Daphnia pulex: one gene and its partners. The protein of the gene in region 2 interacts with the protein of the main gene of each other region in a pairwise test. Links are inferred from orthologs where the notes say so. Each region holds a gene or a part of one and is shown on either strand. Other genes may lie near its edges. The genes, in order: peroxisomal targeting signal 1 receptor-like; delta(3,5)-Delta(2,4)-dienoyl-CoA isomerase, mitochondrial-like; elongation factor 1-gamma-like.

What was found.
Region 1: the proteins of delta(3,5)-Delta(2,4)-dienoyl-CoA isomerase, mitochondrial-like (region 2) and peroxisomal targeting signal 1 receptor-like interact in a two-hybrid assay, tested with the Homo sapiens proteins (2 studies listed by BioGRID and IntAct, with this or other methods). The link is inferred for Daphnia pulex from reciprocal best matches to the Homo sapiens genes ECH1 and PEX5.
Region 3: the proteins of delta(3,5)-Delta(2,4)-dienoyl-CoA isomerase, mitochondrial-like (region 2) and elongation factor 1-gamma-like interact in a two-hybrid assay, tested with the Homo sapiens proteins (2 studies listed by BioGRID and IntAct). The link is inferred for Daphnia pulex from reciprocal best matches to the Homo sapiens genes ECH1 and EEF1G.

What each region holds. Positions count from the first base shown.
Region 1 is NC_060028.1:9,644,642-9,648,909, reverse strand, and holds the start of peroxisomal targeting signal 1 receptor-like, read left to right. Parts: upstream 1-1,468; 5' UTR 1,469-1,650; intron 1,651-1,713; 5' UTR 1,714-1,771; coding exon 1,772-1,915; intron 1,916-1,993; coding exon 1,994-2,425; intron 2,426-2,484; coding exon 2,485-2,704; intron 2,705-2,769; coding exon 2,770-2,918; intron 2,919-2,975; coding exon 2,976-3,132; intron 3,133-3,196; coding exon 3,197-3,351; intron 3,352-3,410; coding exon 3,411-3,508; intron 3,509-3,579; coding exon 3,580-3,706; intron 3,707-3,776; coding exon 3,777-3,818; intron 3,819-3,896; coding exon 3,897-3,933; intron 3,934-4,002; coding exon 4,003-4,123; intron 4,124-4,192; coding exon 4,193-4,268. Other genes in the region: NSFL1 cofactor p47-like, read right to left, coding at 1-150, 212-317, 394-535, 601-707, 767-946, 1,011-1,123, 1,187-1,288.
Region 2 is NC_060021.1:119,508-126,569, forward strand, and holds delta(3,5)-Delta(2,4)-dienoyl-CoA isomerase, mitochondrial-like, read left to right. Parts: upstream 1-3,655; 5' UTR 3,656-3,783; coding exon 3,784-3,808; intron 3,809-3,877; coding exon 3,878-4,052; intron 4,053-4,108; coding exon 4,109-4,325; intron 4,326-4,393; coding exon 4,394-4,520; intron 4,521-4,583; coding exon 4,584-4,966; 3' UTR 4,967-5,033; downstream 5,034-7,062. Other genes in the region: uncharacterized protein LOC124194904, read right to left, coding at 957-1,570, 1,629-2,970; angiotensin-converting enzyme-like, read right to left, coding at 5,121-5,433, 5,507-5,731, 5,792-5,936, 6,005-6,117, 6,287-6,315, 6,383-7,062. UniProt on the Homo sapiens protein: Isomerization of 3-trans,5-cis-dienoyl-CoA to 2-trans,4-trans-dienoyl-CoA.
Region 3 is NC_060020.1:8,827,267-8,835,263, reverse strand, and holds elongation factor 1-gamma-like, read right to left. Parts: upstream 5,119-7,997; 5' UTR 4,836-5,118; coding exon 4,824-4,835; intron 4,716-4,823; coding exon 4,566-4,715; intron 4,500-4,565; coding exon 4,436-4,499; intron 4,373-4,435; coding exon 4,230-4,372; intron 4,153-4,229; coding exon 3,855-4,152; exon of another isoform or gene 3,800-3,854; coding exon 3,440-3,799; exon of another isoform or gene 3,366-3,439; coding exon 3,241-3,365; exon of another isoform or gene 3,214-3,240; intron 3,142-3,213; exon of another isoform or gene 3,078-3,141; coding exon 2,922-3,077; 3' UTR 2,856-2,921; downstream 1-2,855. Other genes in the region: uncharacterized protein LOC124193185, read left to right, coding at 5,536-5,632, 5,708-5,924, 6,144-6,451, 6,512-6,778, 6,940-6,978, 7,056-7,372, 7,729-7,809. UniProt on the Homo sapiens protein: Probably plays a role in anchoring the complex to other cellular components.

The DNA of each region.
Region 1 (4,268 bases), on a different chromosome or scaffold from region 2:
ACTAGCTGGTTCAGACTCAACCAATTTAAGTTCCACAATGGCTTTCTGTTCACACGCCGCTAAATCTGTTGGCGCGACGGCAGAAGCTGCAACATTTTGAGAAACCGAAGGGGCTGGATTTCCTAATACTTGTCCTTCACCTCCAAAAGCCTGAATCCAAGTAGGTTTTTAACAACTAACTAACGATCTAACTACTTTGAATGTATATTACTTGGAAACGCATCTTCTTACTGATGAATTCTTCAGTACGGTGGTCTTCCATTTGCAAATGCACTTCACGGCCGCGAGATTCACGGATCAACTCCATGGGTACTTCTCTAATGATGGACAAATTGTAAGGAAATTTGTAAACAATTGTTTTATTCATATTTAAAACGTAGAATGCACAATTACCCGCGTTTGATGTATTCAAGGAAGTCCTTGTTTGCCGGATTTTGGTAGTCTCTCACTGGACCCTCATCTAAACTGAAGCCGGTTTTCCATAATTTTAGCACAACGGTCCTAGGTTGTTCAGGCTGTCGTGCGCCTGGTATGACTATAGAAAGGAATTATGCTTGAAGAAATGTCATGGTGCTGTTATTTCATGGCAAAGATAACTACCTTGTGTATCCTCTTCACTCTGCCCTAGACGATATCCAGTTCCTTTAAATGTTTGATTACCCTTGGTTGAGGTTGAGGCCCCCTTTTCCAAAACTTCTGCTCCATGCCTAGGATCCAGAAAATGTTAATACATTTTTCTTGTAATAATCTCAAAGAGTAAACCCACTCTCTGGCTGATTTGAACATGTCTCCAATGAGATCTCCAGAAGGCTTTCCCTTGTTACGTGGTGGACCAATGACTTGCTGACCACTTCTCTCAGAGCCTCCAACATAAAAAGCTTGGCCCTCTTCATCCGAATCAGAAGAACTATTCATTTCTACAAGTTTATGGACAGCAGCAGCACCTCTATAATTAAATTTTCAAAATTTGGTCTGCACTACAGTATGTGAAAAATCATATTAACTAATACCTTGATGGGGGTTCTGGAAGTTGGTTTGAAGGAACTTCAACAGGTTCATCTTCTCCATCTCCAGCTTGCCTGTCCATAGCTCCATCATTTTCAAAGAAGCTGGCAAGGGCTGTCTGAGAATCAAAGTGATTTATTTATTGAATGCTCATAACTGTTCTTAATCTGTCTTAGTATACTTCTAATTGCCAACCGGATGACTCTAGGTAAAAACGAGCCCTTTGTTCATCAATCCCAGTTACTTCCCGGAAATTGGCAACTAATTCGTCGTTCGCTGACATGTTCAAACTAAATGTATTGAGTAATTACAATAGACAGGCAAAACTAGGCAGAATTTCAAGACTAAAATATTTTCACCAAACGAAGGACAGAGCTGACGACTCGTCGGATCGGGATTTCGAACAAAAGTCGTAATGTTTTTCATGACCGACAGAGCCATCTATACCACCATGGCCTTTATTCACTAGGTGGCTTTTGTTGTTTGTTGTACGAAATTGGTGTGGATGTGACTTTGCAGAGTGATAGAAGTTACAGTGATAAGACATACACACGATATCTTAACAACTTGCTTTCATAAGTTATATTGATGAATAGTATTGGGAAATTATTACCGAACCATTCTTGAGCTAGACCCTCTTTTTAGGTAACACATGATTTCTAATGACACATGTGTAACAGAAACTAATATATTGTTTTGTATTTTTAGGTAGCTATACATTCAGGAAGAAGTTTGGAGACCTTGAGCTCGGACATCAGTACCTAGAATGGCGTTTCGAGAATTAGTTGATGGAAATTGTGGTGGAAGGAATCCTATGCTTAAAGTAGCATCACATTTTACCAGAGATCAAGGATTTCGTCAGGATGTACCTGTTTCACATAGACACCCTGAACCGAGACCAGAAGATGTTGTAAGTTGATTCCTGACTCACTGTCTAAAGAAAAAGCATTCTCTCACAAATCTTTTTTTTATCTCAACTATTTTCTAGATGGTCAGAGAATTTTTGGAGGGTATTCCACCTCCATCTCAAGTAGGATCAAGAGGTGCCTTTAACATGGATAGCCTTTTACGTGAGATGAGGGATCTGGAAAAGCCACAAGGAATTGCTAGACCTCCTATTCAACCAGGACCAAATGTAGCCCATTATGCATTTGATGACAAAAACTGGGCTGAAGATTTTTTGAGGAAAGAACCTCATGTGATACCAGAAGATTTACCTTCTGCTAGTGGATGGAGTCAGGAGTTTCTGGACAGTCCTGGCTATATGGGAGTTGTAGATGATTATGCAGAGTGGGACAACCATTGGGATAGCTTAACCTCTCATATAGAAAAACCGGGATTTTCTGCTCCTGGCGCATTAGCCCAAACTGCCGGAGAAATTATTGACAGAATGAAAGATCCAAAATTTGCTCAATCTGAGGTAATATTTTATGCGCATGATCCCTTTCCTGACCAAAGTTTCTGAAAAAAAGCTTTCAGTTTTTGCAGTTTATGCACAAGGTCAATCAAGGGGAGGAGGATTTGACCTCGGAACCTCGGACTACTACCGCTCATAGTAATTCAAACTGGGCGGAGGAGTTTTCTGGCTCAGAGGGTGTAACAAGACAGCCAGAATCCAGTGCAGATCAAGACTGGGCTGCTGAATTCACAACTAATCGTCAACCTGATTCGGCCGACGAATGGACAAAAGAATTCAGCGGTAGTGTTATATATTTTAAGTAGCTAATCAACTTCATCCTTGTAATTTTTTTTGCATATATAAAGACGGTGCCAGCGCTGAAGTGTTTAGGGGCGGAAATCCAGCTCAAGATGACTTCTGGTCACAACTTCAACAAGACTGGGAAAAAGCAGCCGACGACAACCCTGCAAGCTACGGATGGCTTAAGGAAACGCAACAAGATCCGTTAAGTGAAGTAATAATGCGCATGGTATTTACTAGTTCCTTGATTCTCACTTCTGTTGGTTTTTAGTACACATTTGAGGCAGAGAATCCGTACCAAGACAACGCGGATCCTTACAATACAGGTCTCCAAAAAAGATTAGAAGGTGATCTTCCAAGTGCCATTTTGCTGTTTGAGGCAGCTCTAAAAAAAGATCCTGAACATGTGAAAGCTTGGGAAGTTCTTGGTAAAAATATCTAATTATTTATATGCCAGGATTCTGTGTAAAGTTAGCTTGTTTTTTATTTTAGGGTTGACTCTTGCCGAAAACGAACAAGATCCAGGGGCAATTACCGCATACAAGCGTTGCTTAGCATTGGAACCAACAAATCTTGTTGCCATGATGGGTCTGGCTGTAAGTTACACAAATGAATCTTACCAGTTGCAAGCTTGCCAAGCCCTGGAGGTAATTGTTTTCCAATTAGTGTAAGGCATACAACATTAAAGGTGGTTTTATATTATTAGGACTGGTTGCGGAACAATCCCAAGTACGGACACTTGACCTCTCCTTCATCAGCCAGGGTTAACGAACGGGAGAGAACATTTACAAGCCTAGTTTCTGGGTACAGGAAATATTTTCTAATTTGTTGTGATATTACGGCGCAAACTTACCCGAGTTTTAAATTCTACCTAGGGATACTTTTAACCGAGTTCAGGATATGTACTTAACAGCAGCTCGATTACAACCTTCCCAAGACTTAGATCCCGATGTGCAAACTGGCTTAGGCGTACTTCTCAATCTCTCTGGGGATTTTGATAAAGTATGATGCATTTATGAAATTATTCGATTTTCTTGATTTTTTCAATTGGCTGCATTGCTTCAATTTTTAGGCTCCCGATTGTTTCAGGGCTGCTCTTCAGATGAAACCTAATGTAAGTTGTGGTGATTTATTATTTGCATGTACTTTTTTCAAGTTTATGATTTTATTTATTGTTAATTCCTATTTTCAGGATTCTTTGCTTTGGAATCGGCTCGGAGCAACTTTAGGTGACTAGCTTTTCTTACATAGAATAGTCTTACATAAGAACGTATGCATGATTTACGTGTTATTTGTAGCCAATGGAGGGAAATCTGAAGAGGCCATTGAGTCATATTACAAAGCTCTAGAGCTGTCGCCTGGTTTCATTCGCGCGCGTTATAACTTGGCAGTTTCCTGTATCAACCTAGGTGCTCACAGGTAATAAAGATTAACATTTTCTTTCTCCAATCCTGTTTAGTGTATACATTTTCTAAATTCTCGAAACAGAGAAGCAGCCGAACATCTAGTGTCCGCTTTACTCCTTCAAGCTAGACGTTCTAAGCGCGTCATGTCCGACAATATT
Region 2 (7,062 bases):
GAAGAAAGCTTTATTGGGAACTGAATTCGTAGCCGGCATCCACAGATTAAATCTTTGTTTTTAAAATATAATACTGTCATTCCAACTAGCGCTCCAGTAGAGCGTCTTTTTAGCTTAGCAGCATTAATTTTAACAATAAGAAGAAATAAGTTGTCCGATTCAATGTTGGAAATGTTAATATTTCTAAAAATTGCTTTAAACTTGTAAAAACCACCTGTCAAATAGCGTAAAAATACATGACTTATTTTGTGACTTAAGTCATGACGGTGACGTAATTTTTTTTGGCAGTTACGTTGACTTTTTTTTTTGACTTTTGACGTTAGGTTTTCAAATGACGTATGACGTGCAAATTTTTTCTAAGTCACTGAAAACTCCGTGACGTTCCGAACACTGGCATCCACAGATTAAATCTTTGTTTTTAAAATATAATACTGTCATTCCAACTAGCGCTCCAGTAGAGCGTCTTTTTAGCTTAGCAGCATTAATTTTAACAATAAGAAGAAATAAGTTGTCCGATTCAATGTTGGAAATGTTAATATTTCTAAAAATTGCTTTAAACTTGTAAAAACCACCTGTCAAATAGCGTAAAAATACATGACTTATTTTGTGACTTAAGTCATGACGGTGACGTAATTTTTTTTGGCAGTTACGTTGACTTTTTTTTTTGACTTTTGACGTTAGGTTTTCAAATGACGTATGACGTGCAAATTTTTTCTAAGTCACTGAAAACTCCGTGACGTTCCGAACACTGTCCATTTGAAAATGTGGTAACATCCTTGAACTAATCTTTTACTTAATCGCCAGATTGTGTGGAGGCCACGACGTGGGCGCGTGTCATGCCACTGGCAACGTGACGCCAATGCTGATAGGACAATTAACAGGATTTCGTCATCAGAACTTTATTCAAACGCTCAAAATTCATCCTGGACTGGAATTAATTTGGGGGAAATTGGTGATTACAAGGATCGGACGACTTCAATGTCCCATTGGTTCTTGAGTCCGACCCAAACTTCGTTCTCTGGACCGCGCCAGGTGAAGACCCGATGGCGGGTCTCGTCCAGGGCCAACTGGTCGGGAGCCACGTAGAGGTACTCGCGTCGTTTGGGACTGAAAAGAGCGTAGCGGTTGGGGAATTGCTCCGTGTTGACGCGGTAAGTGTCCAGGAGCCAATCGGCCGCTCCATCGGCCCAGGTGTGGACGTCCTCGGGTTTGCTGTACTGGCGCCAGGTGAAGACGCGACGTCGATCCTTGTCGTAGGAGAACTCGTCGGTCGACGGGTACAGGTACTCGTGCGGGAACCGCAAACTGGTGAAACGAACCCGGAAGACGCCGGCCTTCCACAGTCCAGTCAGTCGCCATTCGGCCCACAATCCCAGCGGCTCGTCCTTGTTGCGCCACGTAAAGACTCGGCGTCGTTTGGCGTCCTGGGAGAACTCGTCCCGTCCAGGGTAAAGATACTCGCCAGTTCGGGCGTTTTTAATCCGGACGATCAAAATCTGCCCGTCAATCAGCCGGGAGATGACACTCTTCTTCTCCTCGCAATTATTCGGAATTTCCTCTTCCAGTTCCACTGAAAAAATGAATTAAGTTAATGACATAACAGTTAAATTGATTATCAGATGAAATACCTGACGCAGGTAAAACGAGCCCCAAGGAATAAGAAGTAGATGCGCTGTGGACGATGGGTCCAGTCATTTCAGCTCCCGCGTGGTAATTCACTTCGAGCCGGCCGAGATCCTTCCAGACGCGACCCTCGCGGATGGCGTTCAACTTGATCCTGTACAGCTGGATCGGTTTGGGCACGAATTTCTCACCGTCAAAGCTGACGAATTCCTTGTGCTGGTCGTACAAGGCGTCGATGGCCTCCTTCGACCGGGTCTTCCATTCACTGGACGATTGCTGCTGCTGTTCCTCCTGGACGTCAAAGTTATCGTCGTCGTGGTGGACCAGGTGGCGTTTGCGTTCATTGAGGGATCGGGCGATGGCATCGGGACGGCTCAGTGGGTCTTCCCAGTAGACGGTGGGCCATTTGGCGTCGTCGGCCGTCGAGATTGTCAATTTGGCCGCCACGACAACTTTTTCCAGTTGGTCGTAGATTTTCTGGCGAGAGTCCCTGCGCACGATCGCTTCCGGTTGTTCCCCGAAACTTTCGCGGACAATGTCGGAAACGGCCCGCCATAAAAGACGCTGGGCATCACCGACGGACAACAGGATCTCGTTGGTCCGCGGGAATCGCTGGCTGATTTGACTGAAAAGCTGATTGGTCTGCGTCAACATGCTCTGCGTTACCTGGACGATTTTGGTCTCCGTCTGCCTCCGGCTGTCCATGCTGTAGGCCACTTTGAATTTGTCGAATTGTTCCGGCTCCTTACTGAACTGCTCGGCCAGTTGTTGGCATTCGGCTTTGTCGTAACAGGCCAAACTGAAACCCACCGTTTGCGTGTACGGGATCATGGGCTGGGCCATATGATAACGTCCGTCCTCTTCTACGTCGCTGGATCTGGTCAGGATGACCCGGTCGAACGGGATCGACTCGACCTGGTAGGTCCGCACCTTTTTGCCCGTTACCCGCGTCAGATGGGTGGCGACAGCTTGCTGGATCGTCTCGTTCCACATTTGAACGCGGAAGCCGAAATAGAGTTGGTTGTTGACTCCGCTGTACCAGTGGGTGATGCTGGAGCTGTCCAGAATGGCCGCTGGACTGAACTGGTAAAGGGACTTGCTGTGGTAGTTTTTCCGGCCCTGGACGCGGTAAATGTTGAGCCTAGTTGTGCCGGCAAACGACATGGTCGCCAAAGGTTTGCCCAGAAAATGTTCCAGGTCTTTGGCGATTTGATTTTCTCCAGCTCCAGCCGACTCGGCAGTCTGATATACATTTGCAATGTTGGTTTGTTCGGGAGTCCCGGGAAGAATGAAGGCTCTAGTCGATGATGCCAAGATGGCCATCGTTAGTAACAAAGCTAGTTTCATCCTGGAATCCAAATGTACTGTGGCCAAGATAGTAGCAAACAATTAGTCTATATTTTGGGGTATTTTAAAAGGTTAAATCAAATTCGTCAGCAGTGCAAATCATTTGAGATACTAATAGTTGCAAAACGTTGGCTTACCCAATTGGAATGAAGTGTAGATATGTATTAGAGAGATTTTCGAATGGAAAAGTGGATTGAAAGTGACGGCAAGTGGCGGTCGTTCGCCGACTGATCAGCTATTATCGCAGAAGGATGGCCACCTTTTGTATCGTACCAGATGCCCTTCGCCATCATCGATATCACCATCAGTTGGTGACGAAGTGAGTTCATGGCGGATTCAGCAGTTCATCAGAAAAATAATGAGGTCAGCAGAAGAGATGAAATGTTACACCGACAGAAGGTTTTCTGGGTTTTACCAAACCAGATTTGGACGTGAGCTATCAAAAATTCAAAACAAGTGAAGCATCAAGTTCGTCTGAATGTTGTTGTTGCAACAGCGACCGACGACAAAACATAAACAATGTTCCAGGCGTGTCAGTTTATTAGACGTCAACGACTTCGACGAATTTAGAAAAATCAAATCCGGGGTGATCATTTGATCAACAAAGTCGGAAGACAACTTGAATCCGTAAATTGGCTGAAATTCTATCTAAACGGACCCAAACGACCCTTGATAGATGGCGCGATTAACTATCCATGTCTGATCTCCATTCCAAGATGGCACTGTTTTCTATTTCATTTCGTTTGTTTGTGTTTCCAAAGTCCATCTGTCAAAAGATTCTCAATCTAATCAGAATCAAAGTTTTCGATAATCATGCAAACTGCTTTTAAAGTATTGGGTAAATTGCACACCAAAAATATGTGTCTTAGAAATCAAATTAATGTAACATTTTTTTAAATAAATTTAGGACAAAGCGCAGTAAGAACATTGTCTACCTATTCAGCAGCCATGGCATCTTCTGCTGCTTCGTCCAACAAGTACAAATTTGAAACCTTGTCAGTGTCCACTCCAAAGGACTATGTTTATCATGTTCAACTTAATAGACCTCAGCAATTTAATGCAATGAATAGTGCCTTCTGGAGGTATGGTCTTGTTCAAATTCCCATTTTATAATTATTAATTATCTTTTCGTTTAAAGGGAAATGGTAGAGTGCTTTCAAGCAATTAGTGAAGACAGCGACTGCAGGGTTGTAGTCATCTCTGCAAATGGCAAGCATTTCACTTCAGGTCTTGATTTGAGTGACATGGGTCCGTTAATGGAGACCGTTTTGGGAGATGATGATATTGCCAGGAAATTTCGTACACTTCATCAGTTCATTAAACGCTATCAGTTGTCATTCACCTCAATTGAGCAGGTTTGTTATTATTTTGCAGCCACAGAATAATTTATTACAATTTTTCATTCTATACTCGATCCTTTAAGTGTCACAAACCAGTAATTGCTGCTATTCATGGAGGTTGCATAGGGGGTGGTGTGGATTTGGTCACTGCTGCTGATATTCGTTTCTGTACTCAGGATACCTTCTTCCAAATCAAAGAAGTTGAAATCGGTATTTATAGTCACCAATATTACAAGGTTTTCATGTGATGTAACTCTTCCATTGTTTCCATAGGACTTGCTGCCGACGTGGGAACGTTGCAGCGCTTACCTAAAGTGATTGGATCAGATAGTTTGGTCCGCGAATTGGCCTACACGGCCCGAAAAATGTTTGCGGACGAAGCAGCTCAAGCAGGTCTGGTGAGTCGAGTCTTGCCCGATAAAGACTCGCTGCTCAAAGCAGCTCTGGAGACGGCCAGCGCCATTGCCGGCAAATCACCGGTGGCCATTCAAGGTAGCAAACATAATCTCAATTACGCCCGAGATCACTCGATCGAACAAGGACTGAGTTACATGGCCACATGGAACGCGGCGATGCTGCAATCGGAAGACTTGCGCATCGCCGCCATGGCCGCCATGGATCGTAAAGGTCCTCCGCCAGTCTTTTCAAAGCTTTAAATTGTTAAAAAAACGAAATGTAATTTTTTTAGTTCATATTTTAAAATTATACAGATATTATGGCTAATATTGATTGAATCAAAAACGAGAAAAAGCTATTTGATGCAATTAATTTTGTATTTAAAAATGTTCGGGTAAATGTGCCATTAATCTTTTAAAATCGAATGTTGCGCAACGAATGAAGCGTCTCTTCGAAAATGGGTGCCAGATATTTGGCCGCCTCTTTGCTGATTAATGGAGACGATCCTTCTTTCTTGGTTTCGACAATTTTTTCGATTGGCGATTCGATTTTAGTTGCTGGAACGTCCCATCCAATGTATTCGCCATTCTTAGCATTCTCAGCTTCCAGCCACACTTTCAATGGCTCAAAGTAATTGAGCAGAGGAGTAGCAAGGACATCGCGCTGACCAGTCATGGCTTCCATGGCGTCTTGCCAAGGCTTGGAGGCTCCTAATTGCAACATTGCCCTATTACCCCCCACCAAACAGACAAAAATTTATTTAGTCAGAAATTAACACACGAAATTTTGAATTTAAATACGCAAGAGCATCTCCAGCGGCGGTCGAGTTGTAGAAATCGCATTTGTAAAGTGGTCCAACATGGCCGGCAGCGGTGCAGAGTACTTCATTGAATTGATATTGGAAGAAAGTGCGCATGAAATAGCGGATCATGTCGTAATTGTTGCAGACGTGGAAAATGGCCGTAATGTCCAGATCCTGGGCGGGATCACGTCCCACAGGTGGCGCCACTCCTAGCACTCGAGCTCTACATTTTTGTTTTGATTATTAAATTATTTTAATTGCCAATTGTTCATTTTTTAAATACTTGTCGGCCCAGTATTGGGTGTTGAGTTCGGCTTCTGGGATGTCACCTCTGAACATGTTCCAGCGCCAAGTGTCTTGAGTCAAATGGAACGGCAAGGTCGAAATGGTGTTTAACGCTTGGAAAAGTAAAAAGTTCATGTCCACATCTGGGAAAAGAATTATTTTGATGGGTTAATCGAAATTCATTTCATTTGCAGAGTTTTAATTAATCCACCTGGATCATCTGGAACGTTAAGTAGCCCAAGAGTGTTGAGATGTTTGGTGGTGGAGAAACTCATAGACATGAGCTCTCCGACAGCCTCGTGAAATCCATCGTTGGCTCCATCCCTGTCAAGTCATTGATAAGAAATGATTTTTATTTGACTTTTGTCTAGCCGTTTTTAAAATTATATAAGCTACAGGGATCAGTCAACATGTCAAACGACGCAGTTTGCTTTATCTTCGATCAAACAAAGTCAACAAGGACACAAGGATATCTGATAAAAATGGTTTTTACCTGTAGTTGAGTGGCTGAAATGCATATTGCTGAAAAGGTAAAGAAAATATCCAAATTACGTCATATTCGGTAATTAAAAAATTAAATGTTTAATACCATAAAGTATTGAATGTGACCCAGTTCGTGATGGACAGTCTGGAAATCTTCAAAAACGACTCGAGCGCACATTCGAATCCTGAAATCCTTGGCGTCGTAGAAATCCCATGCCGTTGCGTGACAAGCGACTTCACGACCGTCTGTCGGTTTCTCCAACATGGACAAGTTCCAGAAAGTCTCGGGCACCGGCAGCAAACCCATGGAAGTGTAGAAGTCGTTTCCGGTGCGGAACATGCGTTCCACCGTGTAATTTTGACGGATCATTTCCGGCGAAGGATCAGTGGATGGTTTGTCGGGATAAGGAATGGCGATGGGGTTCAAATTGACCCAGAAACGGCCCCACATGTCGCCCAAAAGATGGGCAGGTAGCGGTCCACGCAAGTCAATGTTATTGGCTCCGTAAGTGTTGTAGAGCTTTCGTCGGATGTAGGCGTGCAGTTGCTTGTACAGAGGCTCGACTTGGCTGTAAAGATCCTGGACGATCGTCTCCATTTCGGTGGTTTCGTATTTTTGACGCCATTGGTCTCCGTAGTCGTCGTAGCCGTTGAGCTGGGCCTGTTTGTTCGACAGTTCCACGTAACGCAAATAGAGCGGACGCAATTGGCGACCCACTCCGTCGTGCCACGCTTGCCACGCCCACAAATGGTCGTCGTCATTGCCAATCTCGGCCATCAGCTCAG
Region 3 (7,997 bases), on a different chromosome or scaffold from region 2:
TAAAAGAAGTGCTGATAGGTAGTTACTTACATTTAATTTTAACAAGATCCGGTGTGACGTGGGGTGGCGGGGCGAAGCCTCCGCCGCACCAAAGTCACGCCTTACCCTTACGCCGCGCCATATCATATTAGGTTTTTTGGAATTGAATTTGTATTTAATGTTTGGATAGAAACATGCGGAAATATGCTTTTCATCTCTTTCTCGATTTCTGCATATTAAATTTCTCCGGAAACTAAGGGCATAACATTTTTGTTTTAAATATTATTAATTAATCTTAATAATAGGCCTACCTTTATAACAGAATATTATTATTATTCTATAACTATTCTATAGCTCTGCCTTTATAAAACTATACCAATACAGCAATACTACTATACCAACTAGTATACCCTTAACATTCCCTTCGGGTACCTTGCGGCGTACGTACGCTGCCTACAGTATTGACGGTGAGCCTAGGGCCTAAGGCCTAAGGCTATTGCAATGCGGTTATTCGTTTTTACCTGCAAAGGAAATTCCAGACAGCCTGTCTGGTTTCGTTCATGATTTTTTTTTGGGGGGAAAGGCATGACCAGTGGCTAAATGAGCCTATTACTCCTTTTTCCTTCTTCCCACCTTTCGCTTTGTTCCTAGCCCCCCACAATTAGGACCAAAAAGCCTAACATAGTTCCCGCATGACTGATAGGTGGCTTTTAGGTTGTTCGGATTTTTTTGGACCATACTGTACCGCAGCTGTGCGACACAGCACCATTTGAAATGAATGAAATGGAAGACTGACGGGAAACTAGGGCAAAGTAGGGTTTGTTTGTCAGTTCTACTGACAGGTGGAGCAGCTGGGCAACATGTTACGGATGTGGTCGGACGACTAGTATACGGACGACTTGGCCCGCCTGACACATTTTACTTCACAAAAATGTCCAAAAAAGACGCATTCCATGGCCTCGCTCAAGGATACCGGAAAAACCAATTTATTCCCATAAAAGACTAGACCATCCACCTCTATCAAATCCGTGCTGGTGTGTCGAACATTTCTGTATAGTCGAGGGTAATTAATTTTTAACCTCGAACAAAATTCAACATGAAATTTTTTAAATGAGCTTTATTATTGTAGTGTTTAAGATGTTACATCCAAAACCCTCCGTGAAAATATTAAATATTTCTGTTAAAAAAACATTTTATATTAAATTTTTTTTATTTTCGAAAAAATATGGTACTTCTAATTATAAAAAAATTGTTTAAAAAATTTCCTCGTGTTCACGTCTTTTACTTTATAAGTTATCAAATTTTCATCAACAATTCAACATCACGTGTAAAATAGATTATTTATGAAATTAATAGTGACAGACGGTCAAATTTTTTTCAGCCGCGCGGCAGCCGTGGTTTACATGGTGCCTTATGGCTAAGCGGCCGTGACAAAATTAAGTTTTTCCATTAAACTATAATACTTAAAAATTAGAGGCTTTTGCCATTAAATAAACAAGATAATGCCCGATTAATTTTAAAAATGCCAATTTAAAGCAATGTATAGCTTTCTAATTATTGATTGGCAAAAAAAGTCCTTTTTGGACTTCCGATTTCTCAAGGGTGATTTTGGTGATGTTGGTGAGCGTCGTCTACAAATTTATCAGAAATTAAGCTCCGCCCCTAAAAAATGGCTGAGGGCCCGTTTTGAAATGGGAGGCGCTTATTTGAACTTTGAATTAGAAATACACATAGATAGGTTCATTTTAAAAATATTTAAAAAATACCATGAGAATCAGCGTAAAAAACTGATTCTAACCAAGTATGTTTTAAACAAATTTAAATTTCATGCAAAGAGCCAAAGACCCTATTTTGCTCTTTTTCCCCCTTTTTCGTGCTGCCTATATCCCCTCTTTTGCCCTTAGGGCCCAAAGGCGAAAGACGAAAAGGGTGAAAAGAGGGGAAAAATAATAATAATACACCATGTTCAATTGATTTCTAAAATAAATAGCACTAGCAGCTCTGGCACTAGTATAATTATAGGGGATCATAGAGTTGGTTAACGTCCGAAGTTGCCAGTTCGTTGGACGTTGACGATTGGACGGTTGACGTCCAAAATCCAAAAATTGGACGTCAACCGTAACCGTCCAATCGATCATTCGTCCAAGTCGAATTGGCAACTTCGGACGTTAGCCAATTCTATTTGGCGTTCCGTATTTTACAGGCGTTTTCAGGCTGATCTGTATGATAGGTTTTTCTTTTAAGTGTCACAAATTACCCTTCACGGTGGGAATTTTGTTATATCATGCAGTTAAGAATGCTGAATCGTATGAATAATTTTATAGATAAAAAGGAAATTAAAAAATATTATGGTAAAAACGTTAGGGTTTGTCAACATGATCACAGCTCGTCTTAATGACCAAGCGAACCAATAAACACTTTGTAGCTGGGCTTAGAGCTTGGATCACTTGAGTATAAAATAGTTAGCCAAATTGTTGGTGTAATCGAGCACTAGAGGCACTACTGTTGATTATTCCTATTTCGCCTGTGAAATCGATCCATCAGCTTGGAAAGTCGGAGAACCTGGTGCTCTGTTGTATGTTAATCCGCCTTTTTTTGTAAAAAGCTTTTGTGCACCATTTTCTCGTTCATAACAAATTCTAAATTTTGTTTGATAATTGGTATACCAAACCACGCAAATTATTGTTCAAAACGCTTTGAGATGTATAAATACTGCTTTGAAGTTATTAACATGAGCGTGACTTGCAACTCATCAAAGGGGAGTGTAATAAAATGGTCTGTGACCCCAATGGAGAATCAAAGAGGGGATTAAGCAATATATTCTTAAATCAGCAAGCTAAAACAATTTAATGTAAGTCTGAATGAACTCCAACATATCAAGTAGCTCATCAGTTGTATTGATAATGGTTGTGATACAACACTCCACGAGTATAGATACCAAACTACTTGAAAATCTTTCCCTGGTTGAAAGGACGACCATTTTTATCAGTGCCGGACCAGGCAAAATACTCCGCCACCATCTTCTTGGTTTCATCTGAATCAGGGTTCAATTTCTTCCAGTCGTATGTCTCGTAGTCAATCTGCCAATCAGGACACAACTAAACAAAAAATATTGTTAAAACTTAGATCCATTACTTCAAGCAAAGCTAAGCTTAAAAACAGGTAAGTCTTATTACTTTCCCTCTACTTGTTACACAAAATATCGAAAACAAAAAATATTTGTGTCTTTGAAAGAGGTAACATCATTGTAAACCATCTTACCTGGAAAGCTAAATCTTGCCCACGCCACACCCAAATTCCTGAAATGGTACAATCATTGTCTGTTCCAAATAAGCACATGGATGCAAAGCATTGTTTCCTCATTTTATCCAAACGTTGATACATGCCTATTAAAAAATGTGAATATTATGGGATTTCTTCTTTGAAAACAAAAAAAAAAAAAAAAAATTGTGGAATATACCAGAGATTAAATTGCAAGACATGAAGACTTTGGTAAGTTCATCAGAGTATTTGTACTCTCCAAACCAGATAGAATAATTTTCCTTGTCGAATTTGTCCCAGAAATAAGGGATGGATTTTGACTCTTCATTGTTAGAATAAAATCTTTTGAAATCATCCATGTTGAATGTTCCTTTGGGCATTTCATCAAATGGATCCTTGGACTTGGGTTCCTCTAATAGGGCTGCATCAGCTGCATCCATTTCCTCAGCCTCTTCTGGCTCTTCCTTCTTTGGCTTTGGTTTCTCTTCTTTTTTCTCTTTCTTCTTTTCATCCTTGACAGATTTCTTTTCTTCCTTTTTCAGAGATCCAGTTATTTTACCTGTTGACACATTGGATAAAAATGGCAATGAATTAAATGTTTAGAATTTTCTTACTCTGAAATTCAGCAAACTTCTTGGGATCAACTGGACACTCTTTCTGGCATATCTTAAAGTCTCCAATGATGGCTTTGAATTGTGGTTGGTTAACACAAGTAATAAACCATCTATTCAAATTTTGATAAGGCTTCCTGTTAGTTTCATCACAAATGCTCTCATAAAGGTGGAGAAGATTGCTAGAAAGAACAATATCTGCAAGAGTTATTTTCTCTCCAACCAAAAAGGTGCGTGTAAGAAGGTGGTTGTTGACGACAGACAAAATAGCCTTCAATTCTTCTTTAGCATGTTCAACAGCCTATACAAACAATACACCAATTAACATTGTACATATAAAATTAGCTTTGCACAAATAAACTAAAATAAGAAACATACTTGTTTGTTGTACTGAATGATTCCAAGGACAGGGAAAACAATAGTACAGGACAGTGGAAGAATTTCACTGTCGGCAAATGACATCCACTGAAGGACTTGGGCCTTTTCCACGTCACTGTTTCCTCGAAGCTGCTGGTTGGCAACTGTTCAATAACACTCATTACATCTCAATTCCAGAGGAATACTATTTTAGTAGTAATATTTACCGAAATATGCAATTGCATTGCTCTCAGCAATGCACTGCCCATCTTGGGATTCAAAAGCTGGAACCTATCAATACAATCACATAGACTTAAAACTTTCCACCATGAAAATGAACCGCATAAAGAAAATTACCTTTCCCAACGGAAATTTCTTCAAAAAAGTTTCACTCTTGTTGGTCTCGCCGAAGACGAAGTTGGAAGCGACATTTATTTTGAAACCAGAGTATTGAGCAGCAATCAAAGCCTTATTGGCCCTGAAGTTGCTTGGGTAAGTGTACAAAGTCTAAAATTAAAAAAACCCGATTAATTAGATATTGGACAACAGAATCACGCTTTAAAACACAAGAAGATGTCACGGAATTTCTTAGATTCAAACACAGATCGTACTTACTCCAGAAGCCATGATGATCAAATGCAGGGACGAGAACCTGACGTGGAACCAAGAAGAAGTCTGCTGCAAGAGAGAACGAGCTCAAACGTGAGAATAGTTGAAAATTTCTACATGGCAACGCTGTTAAGCGCGCAGCCCTTTGTTGGTCTGCCTTGCGGGCCACTCTTGCAGAGTTGCAGTTAGGATGTGGAAAGTGGAATGTGGAATGTGGAAGTGGAATGTGGAGGTGGAAAGTGGATACTTAAAACGGAATAGAGCTAGAACTTTAAAATGCAAACACTAGAATGCGACACTAGAATCGCCGCTAGACCGACCTGGAACCGACGGAACAGAACTATGGTTTTTTTACGTTTACTCATGCTCTTCTTGTCTTCTAGAGATCAAAGGCTACCTGACTTCTATAGGCTGCCGGTCGTGCCACGACATCTTTGGGGAGAAACTGAGAATCCATGAAAGCATCAACTGTCTTAGCAGCACTTAGCAGGAAGGTGTACTTCGGTAGTTCGGTCTCGGTGGTACTTCGGTACTTCGGTAGTCGGTACTTCATGGACTTAGCACGAAGACAAGAAGTGTATCAAGCTCAAACTGTGTTAAAAAGAACAGTTTTACGCGAGTCAAGAAAGGACTTCAAACCAAACAATTCAAATATTTTCAAATAATTAACTCAGTGCATTCATCTGAAGTCGGAGCGTTAGTGTAGAAAGTAAACAAAATGCCCGCCATTGTTTTAGAAAAGCCGAAACTCAGCAGACCTATGTGGAATTCATTAAAATCACACATAATCAGAGAGAGACAAAGGAAAAAGCAAGGTTGTTATGATGAAGCTCCACAATAATTGTGTTAATGTTTCAATTGTGCTCTGTAACTCATTTACTCTTAAACAGAACAAGAAGCTGATGCTGAGGTCGAGCGACAGCGAAGAGAAAGAGAAGATCAGCAAAAAGAACAAGAGATGACTTTAGAAGAAACTAAGGAACAAGTTGCTCAGTCAGAATCCAGGCTTTCTCAACTGAAAGAGGATAAGCATCAATTATTTCTGCAACTCAAAAAAGTTCTAAATGAGGATGATACGAGAAGAAAAATCAAAGAATCCAGTTTCAAGTATGCTATCTATTTTTTCTTTTAAAATTCATTCTTAGCATAGAATAAGAAGACAATATTCATGCTGAAATATCCTAGGAAGTGTGTAAATAGTAAATGGACACTAAAAGTTTAATTTGGTAAAATTTTCCCTACCAGTGTTCATATCAAGAGTGATCAATATCCTATGAAATTTTTGTCCATATGAATTAGATTAGAAACTCAAATATTTTTCATTAGCAGTGATATGATGCTGTTTCATCCCTATCCATCTGGAGCTCCATTAGTGCATCCAAACACCCATGGTTCTGTGTACATGCATCCTAATCTTGGGGCTTCAAGGCCAGTATTTAATGGAGGGAAGGAAGAAAGCATTTTGAATTTGCAAGGAGTGCCTCCTTCATCACTTTATGGACAAGCAATCAATATGGTTCCTTCTCTTGGACATCAAAGTCAAACAAATCAGAAGAGACCTCGTAGTCCATCCCCACCACCACCACAGCTGTATCATTCTTACAAGCCACCAGCCCTTTCCCCATACAATTCAAGTATAAATCATTCTTGGTGAGCACTATACTGATTTATTTATTGTTTACTTTCTTTTCTAGAGAGTATAGGTAGTCCCTATGGAGGGAGCCCTGCAGTTCCAGGCAGCATCTTTTACACTCACTCAGTTTCTGTAAGTGCTGCCCATAGCGCAGCCAGTGCTGGTTACCAACTTCCTCCAGGATCCATGTACAGCTATCCCAACCACTCGGGTTCTTCTCGCCCAACATATTCTGTTCAGACTCCCGCATCATCGAAAGATGATGGTAAGCACCATGCAACTGTTTATGTAGGACAAGGAAATGTGCTATCTCAGAATGCTCAAAGAAGTAAGTTTTTATGGATCAATTCTAATTTTTTTATTTTAATGCAAATTACGCTATTCAAGTAATTCATGCGATAACAAGAAGAAGAAGAAAAATTAATGTTGATAATTTCTGGAATTATAACTTAAGAGATTACTGAAAATTTTTATTGTACTTATTTGTAGGCATCCCAACAAGAAATTCTGGCCCATCTTTGAATCAAGGTTTAAAATAATTATTTTTTTTTTTTCTTTTCAAATATTTAAATTTCTGTTTGTTATTTTTTTAAATGCAATTCAAGGATATCACCAGCCAATTGAACATATGATAAACAAAAATTCTAATGCTTACGGAACTACCGAACAAGAGAAGATTTTCATTTCTCCTTCTCTTGGTTCTAGTCCAAATGTATCCACGAATGTCAATTCTGTTTCGGCAGGAGGGTTGCGGCCTCATACTGGGTTGTTAACTCCAATTTCGTTACCTGGTGCCTCACATCCTTCTGGAATTCCTATTCAGCAGCAAAACCATGCATCGAAGAGCGGTAGCATCATAACAGGAAACCCGTTACGACCTCCGACCTCAGCTGGCTATCACTCTGCTATACCTGCTTCCAATGTAAGTGAAAATAAATTCCCCGTCTGTTCGCCATGTGTTTAAATGATCGAGTCTGTTTCCAGCTTAATAATGACCAAATCGAATCGATTGATCTTGATTTATGTCATTTACAATGAGCCAGTCAATAAAATTGATTTGCATTATATATAATGATCAGTGTGTCGGGGATTGTATTCTAAATTTTAATTTATTTGATGTACGAAAGCTGAGATCAAACATTTGATTTCGATTGGTATTACAGGCAGCTGGGTTGTCAATTTAGAACTGTTTCGAATTACCTCTCCAACAACATTTAATATATAAGTAATTTTTACTCGTTTATTCATGGAGAGTACTCATTCCATTTATATTTTCAGGCGCAAAATAATCGTCTAGTGAATACACAGAGTGGAGGCCAAACCTGTCATCCTACCCGTTATTACGGAAATTCGAGTTGAGAAGGAAATTTCTGCAACAAAACCTGCACTAAACAACTAACAATCGACCGTATGATTATTGTTTACTCCATGTAATGTTGCTTTTCTTCGGTTTATTACATTCCTTTATAACTTCAATATTATTTTCGTGAGTCTCTCGGGTTTGATTCTTACAATTGGCTAGAGTCTGTACTAAAAGTAATCAAGTT